Linked DNA regions of Rhinolophus ferrumequinum. The protein of the gene in region 4 interacts with the protein of the main gene of each other region in a biochemical or structural test. Links are inferred from orthologs where the notes say so. Each region holds a gene or a part of one and is shown on either strand. Other genes may lie near its edges.

Region 1 (7,599 bases), on a different chromosome or scaffold from region 4:
CATTCCCACTGTAATTACTATGGTCTGACACCTTCTGCTTAGATTATTGCAATAACCTCCTTATTGGTCCCCTTATCACATGTCTCTTTCCCTATTCCACTTACCTGTCAGATTAATTTTATGAATATGCTGTTCCCTTCCCTTTTTCCTTTTTTTTCCTAAAATTATAAAGGCTTCACACTGTCTATTGACTCAAGCCCAAACCCCTTCAGACTGGAGTTCAAAATGCTTTAACTAGCTCCACTCTCCCCATAAAACACATTACTCATAATTCCTTTGTATGCCCAAGTCAATTTCTTTGCTAATATTATTTTCCCTATTTAAAGTACAATGGTATCAGATGATTATTTTTAATTCACTTTTCTTTCTCCTTTTTATTTTCATTTTCCTTTGTGGGAATATCTTTATGAACTCATGGGTTTATGTTGTTAAAAGTTTTATTATAAAAATTGCATAAATACAAAAATGCATAAAACACAACTTTACAGCATAACAAATAATTATTAAGTGAACATTCAGCTTTTATATCCCTTTGCCTCCCTTCTCCCTATCAAAATCAACTTGGGAAATTATCTGAATTTTAATGTAATTTAAAAAAATATGTCCTCTCGGAGATTTTTAAATAAATATAAGATTTACTTCTATTATGGAATTGAAGGAACCATATTAAGGATTTGGGATCTTCATCTTAAAACTAACAGGCAGCCATTAATCTGATTTATGCAGTAGAGTGACATAATCTATTACATTATATTATATATACAAGATCACTCTGGCTGTTGTGTGGAGACTGGACTGGGCAGGGGTAGAAGTGAATGTAGAGGAAATATAAGGGGACACTGAGTTTGTCCAGACAAGAGATGATGTACTTACTAGAGTAGAGGCAGTAGAAATGGAGAGAAAAGAATAAGATTTGAGACACATTTAGGAGGTAGACTTGACAGGACATAGTGACTGAGTCTATGGTGGTCAGAAAGGAAGGGGAGATGTCAAGAATAATTCTCATTTCGGATGTAAGAAACCAGGTGTATGCTGCTCCATTTACTGAGCAAAAGAACCTTGTAGGAGGTGCATGTTTGCACCTACTGAAGACAACTCGTTCAATTTGGGATACCTGTGAGAAATCCAGCCAGAGATTGAAAGTTTATGATATAATCTGGATCTAAGAAGAGATGTCAACAAGTCATTAGCATACAGAAAGGATCTGCAGCCTTCGGAATGAGTGCACTTACTATCCACTAGGAGTGGATGAAATCGCATAGAATCAAATGAGGAAAAGGTCTAGGACTGATCCTTGAGGAACTTCAACATGTGAGGATTAGGAGAGGAGAAAGAAACAGCAGAGACTGAGAAAAAAACAAAAAATGTAGAAAAGAAACCTAGAAAATGTAGAGTTTTTGAGGCCAAGGGAAGAAAGTGTCTCAAGAAATAGGTAATAGGGGGGTGGGAGGGAGGTAGACAAAGGTAAAGGGGATCAAATATATGGGGGTGAAAGGGGATTTGACTTTGGGTGGAAAACACAATGCAATATACAGATGATGTATTATACAAATGTACATTTGAAACATAATTATATTAACCAATGTACTCCAATAAATTCAGTAAAATTAAAAAAAAAATTTCCAAAGTGAAAAAAAGAGAGATAATAGTCAATTGTGACAAAGCTTTCACAGGTCAAAAAGAACTAAAAAGTATCCAGTGGATTTAGCAACAAACATGGAAGCCATTTGGTTTTAAAAATGGTAGGAGCAGAATCCAGACTGGAATGGATTTAGGGATAAATAGGAGGTGAAGAAGTAGGAAAAAAGTGTTAGACACCTCTCTTGTTTCCCACATAAGTTATGATCCTCCCTCATACACACACAAACACATGCATTCTCAAACCTATATACATGTACTTGTTTTATTTCTTTAATTAGATTGGAAGAGTGTGGTGGAAAGGAGACCATGTTACTACCTCTGAATTCTCATAGCATATAGAATGGTCCAGGGCTTACTGTGGACACTTAGTACATGCTTATTGTATTAAAAAAATGTAAAATACTTTATTAAATACTTTTAAATTACTAATCATGATAATAATGAAAATAATGAAATTAAACAGAGAAGCTGTTTAATTCAACAAACATGTATATAACCTCTACTGTATGCTAGGCACTTTGCCAGGGGCGAGGAGTCACATTTTCATGGAGAAGAGGCGTAGACACACAAATAAATAATTTAAATTTCACAATATTATGAAGGAAAAAATGTTTTATGCTAATCTTACTGTGTACGAGAATGAATCCATTAGTAGAATATTTATTCATGTACACTAATATAAGTTAAAGAAATTGGCAGTAAAAATGAGAAATGAACTAGTAAAAACATTTTTTTTTTGGCCTCCCATAATTTGCATACTATTAAATCAGATGAAGAACAAAAAGATTAGTTATTTTCCCTGCTCTCCCATTTATATATTTAAGATTATCAGTGCTCAAATAGTCTATTTCTGACCTAGATCTTATTGTTACTTATGCCCAAGGGGAGAAAAAAAATCCTCATTTACATAAGGAACAGAATGGCTCTGAGATAGAATTACAAAGAAGAATCAACTACATGAACCCTTCTCTCTTTGATTTAATTCTCAGTGTAAATGGCATAAGGAACTGAGGCTATTGGAGAAATGACATATTTCTTTTATACTGTAAAGAAAATAAAATTCAAGACTACCCTTCATTTCCAAAATGAGATTTGTACACTTTATCAAGGTCCAGCAGTGTCTGATTTATTTTATTATTAAAATTTTGAAAGAAGTATTTTCAATGAGCTACTTATTTAATCCTTACACTCCCCCATGGCATTTCATTCTTATTTTTGTTAAATGGACTTCTGGATTCAGAAAGAAGTATTCAAGTTATCCTTAATTTTCCTGTCTTTTTACTGAAATATACTTTTGTTTGCTAAAGAAAGATAAGATGATGTTGAAGATTATTTTTCCTATGAAATATGCAAGAAGTGAATCATTTGTGTATTGTTTTTTTTCCCCCGAGGGAAGACTCTACTGCAGGAAATTTGAACAAGTAAAGCAGAGCTGTGGATAGCCGGCTAGAAAAATCCACGGCCACCATTGTCACACCACAACCTGCAGCAGCTGTCTCAAGTCCATCCCTCCCACGCCCGGCTCTGCCTGTCAACCCAGCAGGAATGAATGCGCTCTGCGGAGCACTTCAAAAGGTGCTGCAGACCCTGAAAATCTGTCACTGAAAACCGAAGGGAAAATACAAATTTTCAACTTTGTGGCCATAACAAACCTTTTAATCTTTTAAAATTCATTAGCAACGTCAGGTGGTACCCAGTTCAGAGTCTTACTCTGCATAGCCCTTCCTTGTTGAAAATGGAGCCTTTCAAAGTAGCAAAAGAATGTTACTGCAATCCATTTCCTAGGGGGTGAAAGCAAAGCCTTTTTGTCCCAAGAGGCAATTGAGCAACCACCAGTCTCTAGTTGAATAGCCAGCGTGTGAGGCTGGCTGCAATTCCCACAGTTAGAAGCCTAATCTCGGAGGAGGAGATTTACCAAATTCAGATAAGAACTACATAAAAAAGAAATGCAGTTATTGAGCTGACATCACAGACTGGTCTGTGCGTGGAGGCAACATTCCAAAATAGTCTTCTTTTTACATTGTGCAGCTCTCCTCCTTTTTAATTTGGTGTCTCAGTTATTTTTTTCATTCCAGGAAAGAGAACAATGCAGAATATAACCGCATGCACAGGTAGTATTAGCTTCTGAACTCAATTCTTTCTCTTTATATTTTCTCAGTTCTATATCAGGAAAAAAATGATTCATTTTAAGGGAAAATACACTACACAAATTACTATTACATAGACTTCTGGTAAAGGAATATTTCTAGTAAAATTATTTACAGTATGTTAATTAGAGCGTAATTATTGCCACGTTAGAACTACTTGAGTGCTTCCATATTTAGTATGGTTATTCTTTCCATCTTCTGTTTTTGTTTGGCTATTTGGGAAGGGGTACAAAAGAAGATCTGAAAATAAAACTTGAACCTGAGAAACCATTTTGGATGACTCTACTATTAAACTTTTTAAAAACTAAAACAAACACATTTACCCAAGCCATTTGAAGCATCATTCCCGTCTTCTCTCCTACTTTATGTTTAAAGCAATTATCGATGTTGACTCCTCACGGAATGTGGTAGAGTTTAGCATACACTTTGAGGGAGAGACTGGAGCAATTTTCCATTAAATATTTCATCTGAACATAAATTCTGCGACTAAGAGTTGGGAAAAACCTTACATTGGTGATTTTAGTTGTAGTTTGATGATAAAATCATCCCAGCCTCTGTTCTCTTTCTTCCCTTTTGCACCCCCTCCTCAGCCCCACCCCATAATGGATGCTCCGCTGACTGTTTTCGCTCAGTCTCTTTGTCTGAAGGATGCAAACAGTCTATGGATGCTAGGGAAAAAGGGGTGGGGGAGAGATTACCTCATCCCATGTCGCTTGCACCAATCACCACTCTTCTGTCGTGGCTTCTCTGGGCAGATTGAGGGGTCTGGACCAACAGGAAAAGGCCCCAGCCCATCCCCATGGTGACCGAGTTGTATATAGGGAGCCGCATCCACCCATGTGCCGCAGGTTCTCTTACATCGACCGCCTAAGAGTCGCGCTGTAAGAAGCAACAACCTTTTCCTCCCAGCCATCCACCCGGCAGCCGCAAAGCAGCAACCATGGTAAGAAAGAATATGTTCTCTCTGGTTCTTTGTGGCCATTGGGTGGGGTCAGCCCCCCACGGTTTGCTTGGAAAATCTTAAGCTCTTTTCCTTTACAACTTCTTTAGGTCAGGGTAGGTCGCCTTACGCTTTGTTGGAGAGGTTAAGCTTTGTGTGCCCCAAATCCTTGAGCCTGGCCGCTGCCGCAGTGCAGGGTGCAAGCAAGAGCCCGGCAAAAATTGCGCCGAGGGCGCGGCAGAACCCTGGGGAAGAACAAAGGCGGCGTGGAGGCGGTTGTTATCCCGCGCCTTCAGAGGCGCAAGCAGCCCGTCTGTCGGTGACGAGAGGGTCGGGAGCAGGGAAAGGGGATCGCGGCGTCTCCTGCACACAGTGTGCGTGTGAATCGGAGGCTCTTTTCTTCCTCGCGCTGTTCCCCTGGGGCAGGGAGAGGAGGCGTCGCCCCAGAAGACCCGGGGTCTGTGGGTTTAGCTGGGAGGAGTGGGGAGAGGACGACGGCTGAGACAAAGCGGAGCCTTGGGTTAGTTTAAAAAAAAAGTTCCCTTGCCGGTTCGTTGGCATTTTAGAAAGATACCCGCGTATTAACGGGAAAAAAGTGGTTGGTTTCTGTTGGAGCCAGCGGCAGCCGGCGTCAGGGCGGCGCAGGGGCGGAGTTGTTTGTCTCTGGCTTCTCCGGCCTTGGAGCCATTGGGCGGGGTTCGCTCTCGCTAACTCTCTTCTGTCAGGAGGAGACTATTCAAGTCTTTCATCGTTGTAGAACTGTAGGCCTTACAAGGCTTTTCATTCACTGCTAAAACTTAGATGGAATGTTTTTTCTTGAGAAGCAAAATCACAATTCACTTGACAAGTCCTTTAAGGTCAGGACCGGGGCTACGCAGACCTGGCGGACTTGATTGGGTGTTTGTCTGTCTTGGCCACATGTTCAGTGAGAAAGACACTTTGTGAACCAGGGGACCCTAACGCGCAGGACCCAGGGAAACGCCCCGCCCCCCCACATATCAGTGAATAGACAATGGATAGACAATGCAAGTTGTAGCCATAAAGACCATAGAGTAGAAAATATCTATTGAATGTGATGAGTATGAACATTCTGTGGTGGGTAGAGAATCGAACGAATGAAAATACGTACTATTTTGTTTTAAATAAATATTTCATTATCCTTTCACTGGACTTTCTTGTTTATTTGGTAGCGTCTCATGTGATAGTTTGTTTTCAATTTAGGAACTGATGTTTTAAAGATACTCATAATTTTTCACTTTTCTACAGTGGAGAAAATTCTGGAGAAATTTTTAAAAAGTAATGAAATTAATGCAGACAAAGAAGAATTATACTCTGTGTCCAGCTGTCTTTTGTTCGAGCGAATTTCAGTAATTCATTTCAATTTAGGCGTATGGTTCCAGCCTGGCTCAGAGGAGGGAAACTGGCAGAATGGCACAATGAGATCATGTGGGTAGTTTCTGGAAATAGAGCTTGCTCTGTTAAATAATGTAGCAGACAGCACAGGCTAGCACCAGGCACAGCAAATACAGCAATGCAGCAGTGCAAGGAGTCAGCCCTTGCTTAGCTTCCAACCCCCTAGTACAGATGGGTTCTGCAGATAGACTGCAAAAGGGTGTGGCTTCTAGCCTCAGCTGCAATACAGATGTCCATATGGAAATACCCAGTCATATTTAGAAGAAATTCTCATCTGTATTTAAAGGGGAAGGAGGTAGTAATATTGATTCCAATTAATAATTGAATTAAACTTCATTCTACAGAATCTGTGTTTTGAATATTTTTAAATATGAAAAATCTTCTATTCAAGCATGGCCATGGGAACAATAGACTTGCACTCTGCGCTGTACCGTGCCACATTTTTCAGGCCACGCCCACCTGCAGCTTTTGTAGCAGGTGCTTTTCCTTATTGTGTTAGGGATATGACCTCAAATAAATTTGAAGAATACCTGTATATAACTAGAAACATTGATAGAAATCTACTGAAAATTCAAAATGATAACAACCTAATTTTACAATTTTTCTCTTTTCTTTCCCACAGCGTGAGTGCATCTCCATCCACGTTGGCCAGGCTGGTGTCCAGATCGGCAATGCCTGCTGGGAGCTCTACTGCCTGGAACATGGCATCCAGCCCGATGGCCAGATGCCAAGTGACAAGACCATTGGAGGAGGAGATGACTCCTTCAACACCTTCTTCAGTGAGACAGGCGCTGGCAAGCACGTGCCCAGGGCAGTGTTTGTAGACCTGGAACCCACGGTCATTGGTGAGTTGACCTCCGTAACCCAAGTGAGATCCCAGGGGTCTGGGACAGGATGTGTGTCCTGGGGGCTCTGTGGATGCCCTGGGGTTGGGCAGCTTGTGCGGGTTGTTAGTGATGGGTGGCCGCTTTGTTTCCCTTTTCCAGATGAAGTTCGCACTGGCACCTACCGCCAGCTCTTCCACCCCGAGCAGCTCATCACAGGCAAGGAAGATGCTGCCAATAACTACGCGCGGGGGCACTACACCATTGGCAAGGAGATCATTGACCTCGTCTTGGACCGGATTCGGAAGCTGGTGAGTACCAGTTTGAAATATACTTAAAATGGGGTGAGGTGATTCATTGCAAGTTTAGTGAAGAGACCAAACTATAGCATTCCTTCTTTGGTGCATGCCCAAATGTGAGATACACTGCTCACTGTATTAATTGAAAAGTATCCGATGTTGAAGAATTACATTTTCTTTTTACTTCCTTCACAGGCCGACCAGTGCACAGGTCTTCAGGGCTTCCTGGTTTTCCACAGCTTTGGTGGGGGAACTGGTTCTGGGTTCACCTCCCTGCTGATGGAACGTCTCTCTGTCGATTATGGCAAGAAATCCAAGCTGGAGTTCTCCATTTA
Region 2 (6,431 bases), on a different chromosome or scaffold from region 4:
GCCTACCATAATCCCCAGAAATGAGAACAATTTTCACTGGGTATGGGACAAGTAAGAGGGGGCACGGTGCCAGGTTTCATTTCATACCAACCAGCTTTAAATAAGGCGAGGGAAAGTAGTTTAATTGAATTTCTAAATTCTTTATTGACTAGATTGTAATCATGTAATTAATTCACTTCGTAGTAAACCGTTTCATTGTTCTCTATAAGGAGAAATTCAATTTGGTTCAACAATTACCATGTGATACGATAGATGAAGCACTGGTTTAAACATAGATGGAAACACAGAAATTAGTACAACGTGGATCCCAGCCTAAAACTTCCTATGTTGTCGGATGAGAAAGGAAATAGGAGTTTTTCTATATGTCAGAGGAAACCAAGGAAGGACTGAATTGCAAGCTGGCTTTGAATGCTATCTCTAATGTGCCTTAAATTTTTATTTTCTGTTTTCAGTAATATACACAATCCTGCCACTTAATCAATTATGTTAGAATCAAAGAATCATAGAGTTAAAAAGTATTCTGCAGTCTGACTCCCCACTCTAAATCTACTCTTTCTATATACCTCTTTCTCAATAATTTTGAGAAATCATCAAAGGTTGTGGTTGGTGAGTAAGAGCGAAAAGGAAATAAGCTCCTTTGCTCCAGAGATCACCCCATCCGCAGGGTGGTCACCCTCCAATGCAGTAGGGTGTCAAGAAGAGTAAATGGCCCGTTCTGATGTTATAATCTGCCATGATCTTCCCATCTTCCAGTCTCTTTCCATTGCAAGTCACAATCTGTTTCTCAGGGGTTATAGCAGTTTTGGTCTCAATCATCTTTTTCACCTCGGGCACTGAACTGGACCTTCGCACCTGGAGGAGGTGCCTCTGCCCCTCATCACCTGACTCCACCAGAAACAGGGGCAGCTCCTCATCACTGGGCCTCACCACCTTCAGGGTGAGGTGGATGGTGGTCTCCTTGTCAATGCCATAAGATGATAGCTTTCTCTGGGGCTTTAGGGTCTTCGAGCCCAGCTGGAGGACCTGGTCCTGCACAGGAACCTTGGTCTCAGACCGCACATGTTCCTGGATCTTCTTCACTCTGTCATGCAAGTTGGCAGTGAAGGTCATTGGTCCCCATTCCTGAGAATGGACATTCACCTGGACAATGAGGGCCAAGAGACAGTTACCAGGAATGCCTGCCCCGTTGTGTACCCCTTGTTCCCCCTCCTTAGTTTCTCCTGCACTTCACTGCCTGTCTGGTCCTCTGGCTGATTTTTAACAAGCTGTGTCCCTCCCTCTCTTGGAGCTTCTCTTTTTGAATTTCCAGGTTATAACACAGACAAGAAAGGCAGTCTTATTCCTTATAACCATACCTCTCATTCATCCCCAAAACATCATTAATAATTTCCCACCATATTTGCCTGCCTCCTACCTGGATAAACTTTGTCAAATGTCAAAAATTAAATACAACTACAGAGTACTCAAAGGTGTACGCCAGATTCTAAAAATAAATCCCAAAGATAATTTCCAAGATTTGGCACCTAAGGGGAAACTCGCGGGACTGCCCTCCATGTCCACGTCAGAAACAAACATGTTCTCTGTACTGTTTGTTTCTGTTTTAATGTCTCACTGCTTTATAATAATAACTTATTAGGTTGGTGCAAAAGTAATTGCCGTTTAAATTAAAAAAAAAAATTGCAAAAACCACAATTACTTTTGCACCAACCTAATACATAGTACAGTGACACTGTGTTCAATGTTACTTGTTCTTCTGTATTTCCCCTGTTTTTATATCTATCTATTGTAGAATACGATTTAGTCCTTTAATTAAAACAGGGCCTCACTCACAGAAGGTAAGGACTATATCTAAATTTTACTTCAGTAATCTGAAAAATGGAGAAGCTAACCCCTATGTTGTCACTTGAAAGCCTGGCAGGACCTCCCTCATGCTCCATTCAAACATATCTTCCCAATTTACATGTCACAGACATTTCTTCACTGGACTGTCACTCCTGCGCTAAGCATTGCCTTCATTCCAGGTTCTCTACATAGTGTTTATATTCTTATATAAGGTAATGTGTCAGGTCATTAACAACTCAGGATAAATGAGTTGTGTGAACGCCCCTTTTGGGAGGAGAAGGAAGTTCAAGTTTAAGTCATGAGCCCCTAAACAGGATGAGGAAAAAGGCTTAAGACAATATTTCCAGTTTCGAGTCTTGCCAGGCCTGTTGAGCACAAAGCGTACTCCCACTTCCTACCATTGATCCCTCACAACAGCCGGTCCAAGATCTGACCCAAAAGAGAACTCAGGAGCCAAATGACCAGCTTCTCTTCACAGAATGTTCCCTCACATTCTGTAGATATCAATGCCTATCTCATCCCCTCAAGAAGCCACCATGTCTCCCTGGGCACTCCCTCATCCATTCCTGAGACCCCCATCCCTTCGAGGTACTTTCTCTTTCCCTACCCCCATTGTCAAATCCCAACTTACACAGAGGGTCGAAGGCATCTCTGCACTGAAGGGAGCAGCAGGAACCAGAGACCAAGAAAACAGAGGATGAGGAGAACTGCGCCCGCTTATATACAAGGAGGCTGAGCTGGAAATCCCCTGCCTGTGTCTAGCTTCCTGTGCTCTTTGTTCTTGCATGGACTCATGGATTTTCTTTCACTTTCGCTGGAGTGAGTCAAAAAAACAAAACAAACTTTCTGATCAAGCGCTTCTCCTGTCAGCCAATCCATTTGCCCTCCTTCTTCCAAATATGGGATGGTCCTTCTCTGTTGAGAATTTTTCCCCGGTCAACAACCCACCACTTCCTGTCCTGGCTATGACTGACCAGCCTGCAGCCTTGGGCCTCAATGGCTTAAAGACCTTTGATGCTTGGTGGTCTTCTCCTACTGCTTTTAAGAGCCCTCATCAGTCAGGTTTTTTCCTGAGAGCAGGGCCGCCCAGGAGAGGACAGTCAGGGTTGATGTGGAGTGAGCAGCCTGTTCACACTATCCTGGCAGGATGTGTGAAGCATGACTTGAGAAAACATAGGATAAATAACCCTGGATCAGTCCCACTGACGGGAGCCACTTACTATATTACCTTGGGCAAGTCTGTCCACCATTTTAGATATTGGTTTTCTGGTTTATCAAATGAGATGAGTGGAAAGAATTCCTAAGTGTCTTCCAGCCTCACAAACCTTTGTTTATAAAACCTCCTTTACAAAGACCTTTCGATTCCCGGGTCTTGAGCTCTCTATCACTGTTCCTATCCTGTCCTGGGAACTGCAAACTGAATCCACCATGACTTGAGAACATTCCAAAGCCAACAATCAAAGGCTGACTCCCACTGTCCACACGCTAAAACAATCACACACTCACCCTCACACCACAGTGCCTCTGTTTGCCCAGCTTCACTCCCGGATACTCCTCACTACCGTGATCTCAGACATACCTACAGGTGCTGCTCACTCCCCAGCTCCTGAGATCTGGACGGGGACAAAGCAGTGCATGAGCTGTGCTTCTTCAGGGAATTCACTCAGTCACTCTTGATCCTCCTACTATTCCAGACTAATCACTTCCCTATCCCCAACTCTCAGGACATTGCCAAAAAACCCATTTAAAAAAGCACTTATTAAAAGTTCTCCAGATTTTTCAAAGTAAAAAGCCCGTAAAAATGCCAAGTTATCACCTTTGTTTGCTGCGTTTTCACTGAGGCCTTCACTCACGGATGGATCACAGATGATCCCGTATTATTCCAGGGGTTCCCATCTGGCAGAACTTGGATTCACAGAAGTGTCTACGTAAAGTAATGGGATCCAAGAGCATATTCCAATATTTCAAAAAGCCTATCCTGAACTATGTTCTTCTATGTGAAACTCTTATTAGATAATCAGTTAATCAAATTGGAAAAGCTGATTATTATTTGAACGCATTTTGTGGGGTTAGGCATGCTTCTTTAAACACACAGGATGAGTATGAAGGGGGAAGTGTGCTGTTGGAATAGGCAGGAAACCTTTGTTCCTTCTATTCTCCTTTCAGATACCTCTCCAGGTTCCTACTGTCCCGTGTTTAGAAACCAAGATTGGGACCTTTGGCTGCAGCACAGCAGAAAAGGACGGGTCTGCACCCACTGTCCAATAGGATTTGGGTATTCTGAAACATCACCAGTAACTAGGCAGAAAATGTCATATCAGGTTGAGGGTGATAAACCGGAAGCCCTGCAGCAGGAAAGGGATGGGGGATGGGCCTGGGAAAAGAGAAAGTAAAAGCTGTATGTGCCCTGACTTAAGTAAACTGCTTTCACATTTCAAATTTTATCTGCGCCCCTTACGCTCTCAGATCTTCACGTCATTTCTGGGAAAGAAGAAAGAGAGTAGATGGTTAAAGCTGTTTAGAATTAAATCACTCTCTTCTTGTACCTTTTCCTTGTTTTCCATTCTTGCCTCAGTAGCCTACACCATCTTGGGGCCAGTTCATTCTCAGGGGAAGCAGAGACCCTTAGCCAGAAGCTCCAGGAAGGAGAGCCCAGGAATGACATTTCCCAGTAATAGTATATGTCTGTTGATGCCCTCAGATCTATACTTACAGCCCAGATCTGAGCTGCAGAGCTGTACATCTAGGGGCTTCCATGCATGATTCCCTGAACTCCCTGCATACCCTTGAATATGCCAAGCTCTCTGCCACCAGGTCACTGAGCACACCTTTCCCTCCAACTCTGCCCCCAACTCCATGAAATTTATAAGAGTATGCAATGTAAGTAGCAGCTCTTCTGTCTTTTCATACTCTCTCTGGAAGCCTCTCGGAGCACTTTTCTCCAGCAATAGGATTATCTGCTTACTTGTCCTTTACCCCCATTAAAGAGTAGGAATCTTGAGGGTCAGGATTGTGTCTCCATTAACTTGTATCTTCAGCACTACTTGGACAAGCTGTCTGGCACTGTAAATAATAAATATTTACTAAATGAATGCATGAATAAGTAAGTGAATAAAAATGGAAACTGTTTAGTGAGTATTTATTATATTTCAGGAATTGCACAAGACATTATTAAATGGAAACTCATTAACTGTTCTAGCATTCTAATGAGGTAAATGTCAGTATCCTTATTGATTAGAAAGAAGCTAACTCACCCACAGTCGTTTTAGTAGTAGTTGCTAAGCGAACTAGTTGGGGGAAGGAATACAGAGAGCCAAAGGAAAGCAGAGGGTACGAGGGGCCTTAGGATGAATGAGAGCAAAGGGAGTTTCAGGGCCTATATGTACGCAGGTGTATCCCTGGGTGGCACACCCACACTGGACCAGCCTGTATATCCCTATTTGGCAGAGGTGAGCAAAGAGCCTGTGATTGCAGGGCCAGAGCCTGGAGGGAGGTCACAGCCTGCTGCAAACATAGATGAGAACTGCTCCCCCAGGACTGTGAGTGTTCAAAGTGCGAATGCCATGCAACTCCACGTGCAAATAGAGGAACCGCCCACTGGAGCTGGGGATTTCCAGCATAGAGTTACTCCAAGGGCAAGCCTGTGATCCCTCCAGGAAAAAATAATTCAGGGGATTCCCTACCCAGAGAGGACCTGGATTCTGAGAAACAGTGTCCTTTCAAGTAACAAAATAAAAAATCTGGACTCTGATCTTCCCTCTCCTCTCTCTCCTCCTTTCCTATGTGAAATTCCCTCCCAGCCCAAAGCCAGGGTGAGGAATGTCCAAGACATCTGGTGCCCCTTAACTGACCACAGGTAGGATTTCTTCTTGGAACCTGACCTCTTCCTTGCTTCTTACCACATTATCAATCTGTTTTCCCCTCTGGGTCGTGATAGGAAATTGTTTCAGAGGCAGAACTGAAAGATCTCTTTTCATTTGCCTTTTTATCAAATCCAGGAAACCAGCCAAGATCAAATATCACGCTATGGAGATATTGCCAGGTTATTAAACAAATGTCTCAGATAGCTACAAACCTCCCAACTCGGCCCTAGTGATAGGGTGCTATTGGACTAGTCACTGCCCCCAGTTGAGTCCTCCCTGGAGCAGAGGCCCCTTTCGCATCTCTCTAATAATGTCAATGAAAGAGTTTGTAAAATTACTATGAGATCTAGAATATTGCTTCAGCAATGCCAGCCAAACCCAATCAAAAAGTTACTGTGAATTCTCATTTATTGAAGGTTGGAAAGGAAAACAAACATAAAAACAATAAAACCTTGTCCACTCTCAAAGGACAATCTAAAATACCTATCCAGATTCAAAATGGACATGCCAAACTAAAGCAACTCAAATACCCTTTAGTAATGGGGAAACACATAACTGAATTGTAGAGTATCGTTAGCAGTAAAAATGGATGGATTATACCTACACGCAACAATATGGATCAATATACTAGCAACCTATTGAATGAAAAAAAACAAGACCAAGAAGACTACATAAAGTACGACACGCTTTATAAGTCTTCAACACATGCAAAACTACAGAGGGAAA
Region 3 (7,153 bases), on a different chromosome or scaffold from region 4:
GTAAATTCAACTTTGAATGAAATCTACCCGGCCTCTAAAGGCTCACTGGACTACTTCAAAGTATCAAGGTTCTGTCTTACTTTTTACATTGTTATCAATACTTAAGTTTCAAGAACATAATTGTATATTCAAAGTAGTTGGCTACAATGTTCAAATAACATGAAGGACCTTATGGCAGTGGCTTAATTTGGTCTCTAAAGACCAATTGAAAATCGTTTTTTTTCTCCCTAAAGATAGCTAAAAAGTGGCTTTGTCATTTGTTACGAATTTGTTTAAAATATTATTTGTCTAGAAATTGCCAAACAGCACCACCCTTAACATTAAATTTTGGCCTAAAGGAGCCAGATTTTACAAAGTATCATTCCTGTTTGCATTTGAGATTATGATCTAATTTTTACTGAGAGCCAATAGCATTTGAAGCACATACAGAGGCTATTTTGTTCTTGTAAATTACTTTAGAGAATTTACTCTCTAAGCAGAGAAACTTGACATGGGCATTCAATTGCAAACACCGTTCCAACTACAGATGAACTGCGCTAATTTTTTTCAGAAGGTTATTAGCCATAATCTCTTGCATTACATAGCATTTTCAATTTACAAAGCACTTCATATATCTTCATAATTAACTTAGTCATCCCCTGTAAAAAAAATATTTAAAACCCAAACATTTTGGTTTCAAAATATCAGTGCTTTAATATTTAAATACAACTCATAAATCAAGAACCCAGAGAAACAATAATGAAACAAAAATGAAAACCACTACTAGACAAGCCTGGTGAATATTTGCCTGGAACTTCCAAGTGGGTGCTTTACAGTTCAGTGGAGAAAGGTTGCAGGGATTCCTCAGGAAGAAGACAGGGAGACCTTTCTTTTCCACCTCACCTTACACCTGGTGACCTGACATGCCACATCAGTTCACCAGGGGCTGATCCTTCAGGGCAGCTAGTAGTGGAAAGACATTAGCTAGCCTGGCCGTGTAAGCTGCCGTCCCTTTTCTAACTCACCTACTTGCTGCAAAAGTCATCAGCAGCCTCTTTCCTTTTAATGGAGTTTCACAGTTGGCATGGGAGGCTGAAGACCTCCCCTTAACTAAATGCAGTATCCTCTCCTTGCCCTGATGCTCCGAGAACTTTTTAAATAACCTTATCGACAATTATCCACTCCTATGTGCAGCACTGCTTCATAGGCTGGCTACATGGTAGAAATCATTCATAGAGGTGGCTGTGCTTTTCTTTCATAAAAGTGTACTTTTGAGAAAATTTCTAGAAAAGGAAAAAGTAAGCACCTTCTTAGCACCACGTTTGTGAGGCTCTCCCTTAGAGATGATTTTCCCCAAGTGTGATGGATTCAAATAAAACCGTCCATAAAAAAAAGCTAAGCACCTGATTACCACCACTTCTGTGGAATTCGCCCTTTGAGATGTTTCACACAGAGCCACCCATACTTCTCCCTAGGGTCCCAACAAGATACATATGCCACACAGCCAGCTGGTGGCAGGGTACCTCCTGTAGCACTGTCACCCTGGTGCAGCGCTCCATCCATCCCTAAGAGAGGTGAGAGCTAAGGAAATCTAACCACAGCTCTGACTTGGGGAGCTTTGGAACGCATCCATGAACAAGAGGTAGAAGAGGCAGCGTGGCCACCTGAAATTAAAACAATTATAGCTCCTCCTCAGACTGGAGCACCTTGAGTTCCCTTAGTTCCAGCTTTCTAAACATTTTGGGTTTTTTTTTTTTGTTTTTTTTTGTTTTTTTTTTTTGCGGGGAGAGGCACGGATCTTTTGAGAATCAGTTCATGAGCTGTAATTATCTCAGAAAAAAAAATGTCACCCAGTTTTACAGGGTCCAGAGCCCCCTGAAGCCCACCCATTTATCAATTCTCCCAGCCCCCGAAGCCCCCCGCCCCCAAATTAATAGCTGAGTTAATTAGAAATTACCTGAACACTGACACCTCCAGCCTTTACAGTATTTTTCTTAAATAAGGACTCTGTCCTCATCGACAGGGTTACAGGTCTAATCTCGTGTTGACAGGGTCTATTTTAAATTACTCCCTCTGTCCTTCTGCCATCCGCTAGCTCTGTTTTAATTCCCCCTCCCCCACTGCAAGCTTTCAACAGTTTGTTGCGTCTCCTCTTTGGGCTCACCCAGAAAAGTCAAAGTCTTTCCGTGCCCAGCAAGATACAAGCTACAGTACGCGGGGACCCAAGGTTCCAGGGGAGTCCACGCCCAATGGGAATCACAAAATACACCCCACCCCCACCCCCGAATGCGCTCAGCTTGACTCGCCAACAACTTGGACCGCGCGGCGAAACCGCCGCGGCTCCAGCAATTACTCCCAGGCTTGTTCTCCGGGAGACTCTGCCCTCTGGATTCTCCTTTTCACTTTCCCCGGTGCTCACACCCCAGCCACCGGCTGCCTCCGGTGTCTGCCCCGAGGGCGGGCGCGCCTGGGGAGACCCGGGCGCTGGACCGGCGAGGGGCTCAGTGTCACCACCGCGCGCGGCCAGCCTCCCTCCTGCGGCAGGGGGTGTGTGACCCGGCGGTGACTTCCCCGAGAGTCCTGCCCGCGTGTGACAGCGGCCCCGGGCGCGCGCCAGTCGTGCCGGGCGAGAGAGTTCGGACTCCCGCCGGCTCTCCAAGTTCCCCGAGTGAGTGAGCCCTGGAGTGGACCCGCCTGGACTCGGGGTGGGGGGAGCGCGGGTCCCCCCGGAGAGGACCCGGGCTCGGGAAGGGCTGGCCCCCGCGGCGGGCGCCGGGACAGGGGTCCCGAGTGGCGGCCCGCGCGCCCCGCCCCGCCCCGCCCCGCGCCGCGCCGCGCCGCGCGCACCTACCAGATGAAGTCGGTGCAGTGGCTGCAGAAGGTGGGCTGCTTGAAGAAGCGGGCGATGAATTTGTGGTCCTTCACCTCGTGCACGTTCTTCTGTCTCAGCGCCCCTTTGCGCGCGAAGCGGTTGGCCACGTCCTGAGACGCCGGGGAATCGTTAGCCGGGAAAACGTCAGCCATGGTCCCCCCCAACCACCTCTTGCCTTCGCCGGGGAGCAGCAGCCGGGGAGGGCCGGGTGGGGGAGCGGGCGGGGGAGGGGCGGTGGGGTCTCGGGCGACCCCCGGCGGGGGACGCGGGTCGGCAGCGGAGGTCACTGCGAGGAGGCGCGGCAGCGGCGACCGCCGGGGAGAGTCGGGCCGGAGCGGCGCGGAGCGGCAGCCGGAGCCGGTCACTCGCTCGCTGGCCCCACGCTCACTGACAGCCCGGCGCTCGCGCTTCCTACTCTCCGCCTCAGAGGCGGCCCGGAGCGGCGCCGCCCACTGCGCATGCCCGGCGCGCGGGAGCGCGCGGGCGGGGCGCGCGCGGGGCTGAGCGGCGGTGCGGGGGCGCGCGAGCTGGGGCCGCCGGAGCCTCGGCGTTTTCGCTGCAGCCCAGAAACGCGAGGAGGCGGCAGCGGCCTTGGGAGAGCCGGCCTGGATTTGGGAGCCGAGGCGGACGCCGGCAGGGGCGGGCCCGTTCTCCTCCGCCGCCTTTTTCTTTTCCTCCCTTTTCCTCCCCTTCCTCCGCCCGTCTCTCCTCCCTCCTCTTCTTCCGCTCCTCTCGCTCTACCCGCTCCTCTCCCCTCTTCCTCTTCCCACTCCCGTTCACTGTCTCCAGCTCGTCTTTTTCCTCCTCGCTCCTTTTGTTCTCCTCTAGGGGGGTCGGAGGTCTCTGTCGCCTGTGCGCGGCCGGGAGGAGCCTGGGGTCCCAGGATGGGGCTCCACGCCGCACCCACGGGGTGGACCCGCTCCGATGCTGCCCCTTCTCCATCCACCTCCCAGGACCCACCTGTGTGGCTCGGGCAGAATGCCCGGGTTTTATCCGCTTGTATCAATTTGAGTGGCTAAAACCACTCCGATTGCATGTACCCTAAAATGCCAGACCCCCAGCCCATTATACTGTTTATATGTGGATGGCAGGAGAAAGGGAGGGGTTTTAAATCACTGAACAGTGGCCCTTTCACCTGCCTCTAATTGTTGACCTATATTTTACCTGTGCTGTGTATAGCTATCAGATTTGCACGTAGGGATAAAAGACTTGTCCTAGTTATTTATCCTCTTACTTATTGTCTACCAGTTACAACGTTGATTGCCCAGCTTTCTTAATTTTACCAGTCCAGAACTTTAATTTAGAAATCGTTTGCATCCTAAGCTAATTACTGTAATACTGGCATGTGCAGAGTGCAGCCAGTACATCTGTAAATTACCAAGTAAAACTGCTTGTGAAAGATAGCTGGCACGGATATGCAAAGGACGCACTGGGGATGTACCAAGTAATCACTTGCTGAATATTTATTAGTTCTGCCTGGAGGATGCTAAAATACGTAAGGGAAACAACCGTCTCCCAGCATTTCATTATTGTTTTAGTTCATTGTCAGATTCACAAAACAACTTCATGAACTGAAGATACATCAAGAAAGAGAACATACCACCTCACCCCTGTCAGAATGGCTCATCAATAAATCAACATCAAGTATCCAGGAGGATGTGAAGAAAAGGAAAGCTCATGCACAGCTGATGGGATTGTAAGTTGGTGCAGCCACTGTGGAAAACGGTATGGGGGTTCCTCAAAAATTTAAAAATAGAGCTGCCATACGACCCAGGAATTTTCTTCTGGTATTTATCTGAAGAAAACAAAAACACTAATTTGAAAAGATGTATGCACCTCTATGGTCATGGCAGCATTGTTTACAATAGGCAAGATATGGAAGCAACCTAAGTGTCCATCAGAGGCTGAATGGATGAAGATGTGATATATACAGACACAGGAATATTACTCAGCAATAAAAAAGAATGAAACATTGTCATTCGTGACAACATGGATGGACCTAGAGGGTATTGTGCTAAGTGAAATAAGTCACAGAGACAAATATTGTATGATTTCACTTACATGTGGAATCTTTAAAAAAGAATAAACAAAACAAAAACATACCCATAGATACAGAAAATAGTGGTTGATGGTTGCCAAAGGGAGAGGGAAGGGTGAAAAATTAAAATGCCATTGACATTCATACTGAAAGAAAGGAGGAAAGAAAGAGAACATGTTTAACCTTCCAAGAAGTTAAAAAAAAAAAAAAAAAAAAGCTTTTCTACGATACATACTATCTTAGAGCATTTCACACAGGCCATGCGGGGTTACCATCTTTTAAGATTGCCTAACTGAATGCTTGGTGATAGGAATAGCTTTTATATTTTAGCAAGTGTAAGCTATTGACTGGCCATTAGTGGAGCATGCACTTTGCTGGCCCATTTACAATCTCTTGGGCCAATGTAGTGGTTACTTAAAGAGACTGCACATGTTTGATATTCTATCTGGTCAGAAATTTCACCACTCATGGCGGCCTCCTCCAGTTCAAGGAAGTGAAAAAGGAAGAGGCAAGAAAAGGAATGAAAAGCAGGGCATATGGGGGAAAAATAAATCAAATCTCCACAAAACTCCTTATGACTCTCAAGCCATGGCTGTTTATTGCTTTATAATCATAAATCAAATGGAGCACAGTAGAACAACACACACACATCTTTCCTCACAGCCAGAGGTTCTCACACGTTTTATGAAGACAAGTTTCTTTCTATTTCTCTGAAGCTTTGATGCAATGAGGGAGGGAAAATATGGGAGTTGAAGGGTGGGGTTGCTCTTAGTGGAATCCCTGAGTAAAGGAAGAGGGAAGATGAACTGTGAACCAGTGGGCCTTAGCAGCAGCCTGCCCGTCTCCTGTAAGGAGTGACTGATGGCAGCTGTGGGTACACCAGATAGAGACAATCTCTCTTTTTTTTTTTTCTCCCAGATTGTGGCTTTGCTTTCTTGCCTCAGTTAATCCTGTTGTTCTTTGTGGGTATGGAGAGAACTAACTGGAAGTTTGTTGATTGATAGCTGGACTGAGTTTGAGAGCTCAGTTGCCTACAGCTTGACTCAATTGTAGGGGTGAGGTGGGGACGCACCCCAAGCAGGAAATTGTCAATCAGTGTAACACTGCCCCTAGCAAAGACTGATGGGGATGTGAGCCACAATTGGCCCTTGCCACACACCTGAGAAGTCCCCACGGTAGCACTAACCTGGAAGGATCACAGAAAGGAAAACTACTGGGGAGGGAGTGGTCAGTTAGTCGTGGGCATTCAGTGATTATTTGAGATCTGCTGTTTCAGGGAGAACATGTAGGAAAGGACAGGGAATGGGAGACTGAACACAGACTTTGTAAGAACCTTCCTCTGTGACTGACTCCTGCCTTTGAGGGAGTAAGCTGGAGACTGGAGAGGTGGAGGGACCCAGAGGCTGGAGGCTGGGGTCAAAGTCAGGCCACTAAATTGATGATTCCAAACCAGAGTGGTTGAACTAAAACCAAGTCTTGACGGTAGAAGTAGGTCTGTTTTCAAGTGGACCAGTTCGTTTTCACATTGAGCAATAGAAGTTGCTTAAGTGTAGAAAAAGCTCGATTCTGAGATAGTTACCAAGATGATTTAATGCATTGAATTAAAGGATTTTTGCTCTATGCAATTCAATGTTGTTGAATTCAATGTTTAGGAAAGCTAAGATAACTGGAGCAATGCATGATTAATTAGGCAGTGTTTAGAATCAGGGTTAATGGCAGATCTCAAGAAGTGGATAGAGACAAAGTCTAGCTGGGAAGGGGCTGATGTTGAGCAAATTGGGGAGCAGGATAATATAGGGGTGGGTGAGTCAGAAGACCCAGTCAGAGGTTACCATCAGGAATGGTTGTACAGGTTGTGTCGACGTAAGAAACGTCCAAACCTGTTGAGAATTTTTATAAGAGTTTATTTGAGCCAAACTGATGACATATGCCAGGAAGCAAGAGCTCAAATTCTACGGAGAATAACAATTTTGCGCTTCTTTATGCGCTTGAAATTAAGGAGGGAACTAACATGGAGGTGGGAGAAAGCAAGGCGGAGATTGGGTTACAGGATATTAACCAGATTATGTGCTCTCTTGAGGGTTAAGACCCCCTTCCAGGGGTATTACTTCTGGCATTTTAAAGGTATGTTAACCTAGATGTGCAAGAACAACGGACAGAGCTGGCTTAAAACCTCTCACTAAAGAAGTTAGAGGCCTGGGGCAGGACTACCCACCATGACCTGCCCAGGTAGGAATTTATGATCAGATCACCCTGTGAAGTTG
Region 4 (7,415 bases):
TCTAACACACTGTACCATTTACTTTTTGTTTGTGGACTGTCTCCCCGCCTCGAAAACGTAGTCTCCACAAAGGCAGGGGTTTTGTTTGCTTTGACCAGGGCCACGTCCCTAGCTCCTCAGGAGACAGTAGATCTACATTCAATAATGAAGCCTTTTGACATCCTGACTCTTCCACGGGGTTAGGAGACATCGATACTCAACCGGTAAACACATGAACATAGTAATGAGCAAACAGTGGCATGGGTTAGGAAGAGCGTGAAGATCAGGTGTGGGGGGAGGGGAAAGACCAGGCAAAGCTCTCTCTGAGAAAGTCTCCTTGAGATACGCATATTAACTGGGAGGAGAGAAGGTAGAAACGGATCTCTGGAAGAGAGACTGGACAGGGGAAAGACCCGAGTCGAGGGAGTGCCTGGCATGTTGGAAGAATAGCAAGGGGACCAGTGTGGGTGAAGTGAAGCAAAGCGAATGAGGGGGGAGGATGAGCTCATGAGGTCACCAAGGTGATGTGGAGCCAGATCACGTGGAACCTAAGAGGCCGGGATGAAGAATTTGGACTTCACCTGGAAGGCAATGGTCTGTCCTTGACAGATTTTAAGAAAGAGAACATCACCTCGTACGTATTTTTGTAGGTTGCTGTGTGGAAAACACAGCAGGGGAGAAGGTGGAAGCAGGGGACCAGTGAGGAGGCCTCTGCAAGTCTCGATGAGTGATGATGGTGGTAGCAGTGCAGACAGTGAGGAGAAAGGTCAGATACTGAATACATTTCGAGCAGAGAGCCAAAAGAATTTGCTGATGAATTACAACACGTTGTGAGCGAATGGGAGGGGGAATTCTCCTGTTTCAGCACAAACGTCGCTTCTTCAAGGATGCCTTCTGGGAACCCTGGATGCTACTCTAGGGTCCCTATCAAACATTCTTGAAGCCCGTGGTCTTAAGTCCTCCTTCATTAAACATTTCACACTGCGTCTGGGTGTTTAATGATCTGCTCTACTCACCTATCAGCTCCTTGAGGAGGGACCCTGTCTGTCTTGTTTGACACATTTGTATCACCAACTCGGGGCACACAGTAGGCGCTCAATAAATATTTGCTGGCTAAATGAAAAGAACCCTTTCAAGCCTGAGCCCCACCTCCCTAAATCGTCTGCTTCTGGTCTCTAGGCTAGTGTAAGAAAGGATTTGTTCCTGCTAGTAGCTCTAAGTCTGCATATTTGTGTGGTTCGGGGACAGCCTAGAGGAGTCAGCCTCACCTGTCATCCCAGAGGCAGTGGAATTCATTTAGCTGCTCATCGAACACCAAGCCAGTACCAGACAGTGTCTTGGCCTCAAGGTTCAGATCCTGCAAGGAAAAAAATGTGAGACACGGATCGATTTAGGGCCTGAGTCAGAGAGAACATCCCATATTGTCCAGGATGGACAACCTCAGGATTTTGATTGTCACAGGAGGCTAAATTGTGGCCAGGCCACTCTCACCAGCCCTTGCAGGCCCACGATTAGGTCTTGCCCTGTTTCTTGGCTGAGCTTCTTCATTCTGCCTTTCTTCTTAACCTCCGCTAGTTTGGGGCTGGAGCGGAGTACGGCACCCTTCTTAGCACCTCGCTTCTGCCAAACAGAAAGAAGGGTCAGAGTCCACTGCATGGCCGGCTGCTCCCCCTCCCCCTCATCAGGACGGGTCTGGGGCCTCACCGAGGTGACGCTGGAGTCGTGGGGGGGCGAGTGGGGGTTGTGCCTACTCCTTCGCTGCCTGGTTGTGGTGGAATCCTGACCGGTGGAGGTCATGGTCGGGGAGATTTCACCCCTGACGCGGTTCTGAGGGGTGCAGAAAGGGCTGGGGTGCCCTGAGGACCCCACATCCCAGCCCCTTCTCAGGCCCCGCCCCCTATACTAGTCTCCATCTCTCCCGCTATCCTACTCCCCACTGCCTTCTAAACTCCGCCTCTCTCAAGGCTCTCTCCCTCCACTCGGGTGTCTAATTCACCTGGTCCCGCCCATTCCACTAGACTCCACCCCTTTAACTGTATTCTTTCCCCTTTCAAAGTCTTACCCTTTCAAAGAGCAATTAACCCCCAGGCTCAGTCCACTCTAGGGCCTGCTCTTTCCAGCAAATCACAACCCTTCCGCTCTACCAAGCCCCATTCCCAGATCCTTTCATTCTTCTCAGCTTCGCCCAGACCTCGCCTCTTCATAGACGCCCGTTCCATCCAATCGCCCGGGATAATCACCCACCCTTTCACTCAGCCAGACCCAGACCCAAGACCGACCCCGGCCCCAACTCCACCCTTAACGAACCACTTAACTCCACCCCTTATCGGGCCGCACCGGCACCTACCACTTGGCCAGATCCCGCCCCTACTGTTACAACAGGCCCTGTCCCTCTGGGGACGGCCCCTTTCCTTCTACCAGGCCCCACCCCCCGCCAAACCCTACCCCCGTCGCTTCCCCAAGCCCCTTCAGCGAGTTTGGAGCCGCCTCCCGCCAACCCCCCCCGTTGACGCCAACCAATCCCTTCGGCTCCATTCACTGGGCACAGCCCTTTTCTCAAACTCCGCCCACGGCTAGGACCGCCCAATTCCCGACGACCTGTGGGACTGTGGGAGCCGGAGGCCAGCTTTTCCTTTGGGCCAAGTCTCTCTACTGCCCGCCCAGGTCCCGCCCACACCAGGATCGGGCCGCAGGACCGCGCCCCTCGTGCGGGCCACACCTCCCGCGAGCGCACAAACCGCGGGTTTGCGCGTCCGCCCGCGACGCGGGCCTTGCTGCGCCTGCGCGAAGCGCGCTGCGGCGGTTCGACGCGGCGCTCAAACCCAAGCTCGCCCCTCCCCCAACCCTTGCCGCGGTCTCCCTGGCTTTCCTGGTCGCCGTCACTCAATCCCTGTCCAGTCACCTTAGGAGCCCTCCGGATCTGGGGCTACTGTGCCGTGCGATGACTAAAGAGAGCAAGCGAGCAAGCGAGGGAGTTGGGAAAGGGCGTCTTCCCTCCTCCCTGCAGCTTCCCGCGCGGCGCGCTGTGATGACGTGGCGCGGGCGGGCTGGAGCTGGGTTGAAACTGGAGGAAGGCTGCTGGCGGCCAAATGGGATTGGTGATGATGCTAAATGTAGCGAGGGTTTTCTAAGTTAATGTTCACGAAGGTGGTACACAGGCCGCACTTACCAAGTGTTAGCTATTAATGTCTTGCCGTGAAAATGGATGGTGGGCGAAAGGAGTCTTAGTAGGGGCAAGTATTAAATGATAATGATAACAAGTATTGTGTGTCAGGCATTGCTGTAAGCCACAATTCTGTGAGGTAGTTCCCATTATTAAGGCTGTTTTGCAGATAAGGAAACTGAGGTTATGCGACTTAGCCATGTGACCTCGGGCAAGTTACTAAACATCTCTGTGCTTCAGTTTCCTCATCTGGAAAATTGTGATAAAATAGTGCCTAGGGACAGAAGGGACTCAGGGAGGGGAGTTTTTCTTGGGCGGCAGCTTTCCCTGTCAGTCTCCTCCACCGAGTAACCTTCGCTCCCAAGTTGTAATGGAAAGTGTGTGCCTGGGAGGAAGGGTAGTTGCCCCCTTGCGGCCCCCCGCCAACTCCCTCCCACCCCAGGTCTAAATAGCCCCGCAGGAGGCCGGTTTGTCTCCCTAATCTCCCTTTCTCATTCTTCACCATTTCCTACCGGGGCTGTAGGCTGGGGCCCGAGAGATAAGCGGTCTGGGGTTCAGCATCGCTGACTAACAAACAGATTGACAGCCCCACCACCCACTAGCTGGGCCCTCTGACCCTCTTGAAAACACCAGTTCCAGCCTTCCCTTCCCTTCCACTCTTTCTGCCTGAATATGTCTTTTGTCCTGGTGGAAGAGGGTCACGGCCCTAAGACCTTTAAACCTCCTCATACACCAAAGAAAACACATACAATGATACACACTGAGGAATATTCTGGGGTTGTGATGCCTACAAAGTAATAGAGTAGGGAGTCTTGTAAGTGTCAAGGCCCATTTTTCTGTATAGTCAGAAGAGAGGTTTCTGTGGAGCAGAAGTCATCAAACTTTTTCGACGCAGGACCAGATAGTAATATTTTAGGCTTTGCAGGCCATGTACGGCCTCTGGTAAATTCTTCTTTCTTTTCTCCTTTCTTTCCGTTCTTTCTCTTAAAAAAATGTAAAAACGGGCTGCAATCTGGCTTTGTCCTGAATGCCATAATTTATGGGTCCCTGCAGTAGACTGTCAGTCTTTGGCTTCCTTTATCTGACTGGGATCCTTTTACAGGATAAGTGCAGAGGTTCCATGCTTCCTGAGGAGAGGTATTCCTTTCATGTGAGGTGTAAGGAGAGGGATTCATGGACAAGGTCCGGTCACTTCTGGTGTTCTTCTACTGGGTCAAGCAAATGTTTCTGGACAGGGATTTCTATAGTTTCCTTAGTGTGCCTCCACTGAACCAAGCAGGGGTTTATATATAGGACAAGACAGTTGTTTCTAGAGAGCTCAAGACTAGGGGTTCCCATACAAGTTCAGGATGGGGCTCCTTAGACTGCATTATTCCTACAAAGAGATCAGGTGATCCAGCTTCAGAGTCAGCACAGGTGTTTCTGTACAGGTTCAGAGCTGCATTCATATACTCGTGGACAGTAGGATCAGGTGTTTGTGTCCAGATTCAGCCGAGATTCTTATTAATTGAACTAAATTAGGCTAGCTGCTATAACAAACCCAGAATCTCAGGAGCTTAGCAAATGTTTATTTCTTGCTCATACAAAATCCAACGTAAATATTTACTATTGGTCATTAATGGACCCAGGCAACTTCTGTTTTGTGGCTCTGCCCTCCTCTGAGCCCTCGGAGTTTTTACTATTCAGCTGGTAGACAGGGAAAGGAGGAGGATTCCATGAGAGGTTTTTATGGGCCAGGCCTTGAAGTAGTGTATGTCACTCTGCCCACACTTCATCGATCAGAACTGTCACATGTCCACGTCTAACTATAAGGGAGGCTGGGAAAGTGAGTGAGCTTAGGAAGAGAACAGGGTTGATAAACCTGTGGTGGTGCCTGCTACAGGATTCTGTAGACTCTACAGAGCTACGCTGCTTAATGCAGTAGCCACTAGCCACAGTCATGACAGTGGTTCCTGCATAAGATGAAGGTAGGGCTTCCAGAACAAAGCCAGGGCAAGGGCTGTCAGAGAGAGTCACGTCAGGGTTTCCCAAACAGGTTCAGGAGAGTGTTTCCAAAGTGTAAGGTTGGGAGTTCCTATGAAGGATCGGGTCAGAGATTTCTGTAAACCAATCAAGTTAAGGATTTCCATTGAAAGTCAGGAAAAGGTTTTCTGTAGAATCCAGTTCGAGTTTCCAGTACAGTTGTAGGCAAGGCTTCCTGTAGAAGGTCACGGCAACGGAGCTTACGGGGTGAGGATGGGAAGCCCTGTACAGTGTCTGGGCAGGGGGTTCTGTGCTACGTGAAGCTGTAGGTAACTGTATAGAATGAGGTCTGGGCTTAAAGTAGAGGGTCGGGAAAGGGTTTTCCATGTAGGTTCAAGACTGGATCATGGGTTCCTGTGGACTCTACAAGGTGGGGTGCAAGATAGGGATTGTTGTACAGAGCGACGTCAGGGGGTCATTGCCAACAATGGAAGCAAGGGCTCCTGAACTCAATCGGTTCCTGAAGAGGTTGCAGATGGGATGGAGATTTCTGCAGAGAGAGTCAGGTCCGTGGGTTAGAACTAGATTTTATTGTGAGCGAAGTATTTGTAAACTGCTACCTGGAGGGCAGGGCTCCAGTACAGTGTGAGGACAGAGGTGGCCTGTCCAGGGTCAAGGTAGGATTCCTAGAGAGAGATCACAGCTCAGAAAGAGGGTCAGGATAGGCGTTTGTGAAAGAGGTGGTTCAGGGGCTTCCTTACAGTGTGGGTTCAGAGATTCCCATGGCAGGACAGGGGTTCCTCCTATACAATACGAGGACTGGTGCTCCTGTCCAGGGTCAGGATGGGTTTCCTGTTGATAATTAGAGAAGGTTCCTTAGAGTTCCAGAGCTAGGTTCCTGTACCAGGCTAGGACTGCAGTTCTTACAGGGGGTGAGGCTTGGGGTTCCTGAACAAGGTGGGGCCAGGCACATTTCCAGCACAGGTTCTGAGAGGGGTTTCTTTCTGTTTCAGATGAGGGGCTCCTGCAGGGTGAGAGAGCTAGGGATCTGTGGGGCGGCCGGGCAGGAGGCTTTCACAGGGCCAGGGCAGTTCTAGACAATCCCTGTAATGAGTGTGGACTACTGTGATTCTGCAGCGGGCTTGTGTGGCGACTCGCTAAGGGGTGCTGTTGTGTCGAGGACAGCTGCTTACCCATGACTATGTTCAGGATATATGGTCCCACCATCCCCATCTCTGGGGCTGCCGGGGAGAAGCAGCCCAAAAGCAAATCCAGAGCTGAGTGAATTGAGGAGTGAGTGGTTTAAAAAAGAGAGAGAAAAGCAGCCCAAGTAAGTGTGAGCAAGACTCGGGGGGTGGGGGGCGGGCTGGGGTGGCACCATCTGAAATCTACTCGTTAAACTCAGTGTGGTCAGGGCAGGTTACTCATCCGGACTCAGCCTCACTTTTTCGTTAGTAAAATGAGTACGAATATACATACTTTTTTGGAGTATTTTTTTCAGGTGTTCATGAACTAAAGCAGCGGAGGCCTCCCAACCGTTGCCGACCCACGGTAAACACTCAGTAAGTGGTGCTGCTTGCTGTTAGCAACTGTGGGGTAGAGAGGAGGCTGAGCCACGGAGCCGGGCTCAGCCCCGTGCCATCAGCTTTGTGCCTCGGTTGACCATTTAACCTGTCTGGCTTAGAAGGGCACCTGACTCAGTGCGTGCTTCTACCGTGTTTCCCCGAAAATAAGACGGGGTCTTATATTAATTTTTGCTCCAAAAGACGCGTTAGGGCTTATGTTCAGGGGATGTCATCCTGAAAAATCATGCTAGGGCTTATTTTCCGGTTAGGTCTTGTTTTCGGGGAAACACGGTATGTGAGGGTTTGTTAAATGGGAGAACAGATTCTGTTTTGGGAGAGCAATTCACCTAAGTGTGCTGGGAAGGGCGTTGGCACTGCGGGGAGCACCCCCACCTATGGGGTCTAAATATCCCTCCAGAGGCTATTTGGTCCCCCTAATCTCCCCCTCTCCTTTTCTACCATTTCCCACAGGGCTGCAGGCTGAGCTGGGCCTTGAGAGATAAGAGATGAGTGACAGGAAGGCCCACGGACAACCCCACGGTCCCAGACTGGTCATCTGACCTTTTTGTTGGCTACCATTCCAGCCATCCCCTGCCTTCCATTCCTGTCCTGAGTATGTCTTCTGTCCCTTGGAAGGGGGTCCCTCACGTATACCGACTGAAGCGATGTGTGTTGATACCTCCACACACAAGAGTACACAGAGCTGCTCACAGTGTCAGCCCCTGAGGGACACGGTCACGTGCCCC

Evidence for each region.
Region 1: of the proteins of HDAC6 (region 4) and TUBA1A, one has a biochemical effect on the other in vitro, tested with the Homo sapiens proteins (4 studies listed by BioGRID). The link is inferred for Rhinolophus ferrumequinum from reciprocal best matches to the Homo sapiens genes HDAC6 and TUBA1A.
Region 2: the proteins of HDAC6 (region 4) and UBD form a complex in vitro, tested with the Homo sapiens proteins (2 studies listed by BioGRID, with this or other methods). The link is inferred for Rhinolophus ferrumequinum from reciprocal best matches to the Homo sapiens genes HDAC6 and UBD.
Region 3: the proteins of HDAC6 (region 4) and PRKCA form a complex in vitro, tested with the Homo sapiens proteins (2 studies listed by BioGRID, with this or other methods). The link is inferred for Rhinolophus ferrumequinum from reciprocal best matches to the Homo sapiens genes HDAC6 and PRKCA.

What each region holds. Positions count from the first base shown.
Region 1 is NC_046293.1:50,213,387-50,220,985, reverse strand, and holds the start of TUBA1A (tubulin alpha-1A chain), read left to right. Parts: upstream 1-4,588; 5' UTR 4,589-4,728; coding exon 4,729-4,731; intron 4,732-6,763; coding exon 6,764-6,986; intron 6,987-7,127; coding exon 7,128-7,276; intron 7,277-7,459; coding exon 7,460-7,599. UniProt on the Homo sapiens protein: Tubulin is the major constituent of microtubules, a cylinder consisting of laterally associated linear protofilaments composed of alpha- and beta-tubulin heterodimers.
Region 2 is NC_046286.1:539,147-545,577, forward strand, and holds UBD (ubiquitin D), read right to left. Parts: upstream 2,629-6,431; 5' UTR 2,492-2,628; coding exon 2,474-2,491; intron 1,141-2,473; coding exon 670-1,140; 3' UTR 524-669; downstream 1-523. UniProt on the Homo sapiens protein: Ubiquitin-like protein modifier which can be covalently attached to target proteins and subsequently leads to their degradation by the 26S proteasome, in a NUB1-dependent manner.
Region 3 is NC_046304.1:44,302,514-44,309,666, forward strand, and holds the start of PRKCA (protein kinase C alpha type), read right to left. Parts: upstream 3,021-7,153; 5' UTR 3,004-3,020; coding exon 2,831-3,003; intron 2,100-2,830; exon of another isoform or gene 1,937-2,099; intron 1-1,936. UniProt on the Homo sapiens protein: Calcium-activated, phospholipid- and diacylglycerol (DAG)-dependent serine/threonine-protein kinase that is involved in positive and negative regulation of cell proliferation, apoptosis, differentiation, migration and adhesion, tumorigenesis, cardiac hypertrophy, angiogenesis, platelet function and inflammation, by directly phosphorylating targets such as RAF1, BCL2, CSPG4, TNNT2/CTNT, or activating signaling cascade involving MAPK1/3 (ERK1/2) and RAP1GAP.
Region 4 is NC_046284.1:85,813,076-85,820,490, forward strand, and holds the start of HDAC6 (histone deacetylase 6), read right to left. Parts: upstream 3,004-7,415; 5' UTR 2,882-3,003; intron 2,372-2,881; exon of another isoform or gene 2,327-2,371; intron 2,301-2,326; exon of another isoform or gene 2,042-2,300; intron 1,807-2,041; 5' UTR 1,777-1,806; coding exon 1,684-1,776; intron 1,600-1,683; coding exon 1,471-1,599; intron 1,337-1,470; coding exon 1,248-1,336; intron 1-1,247.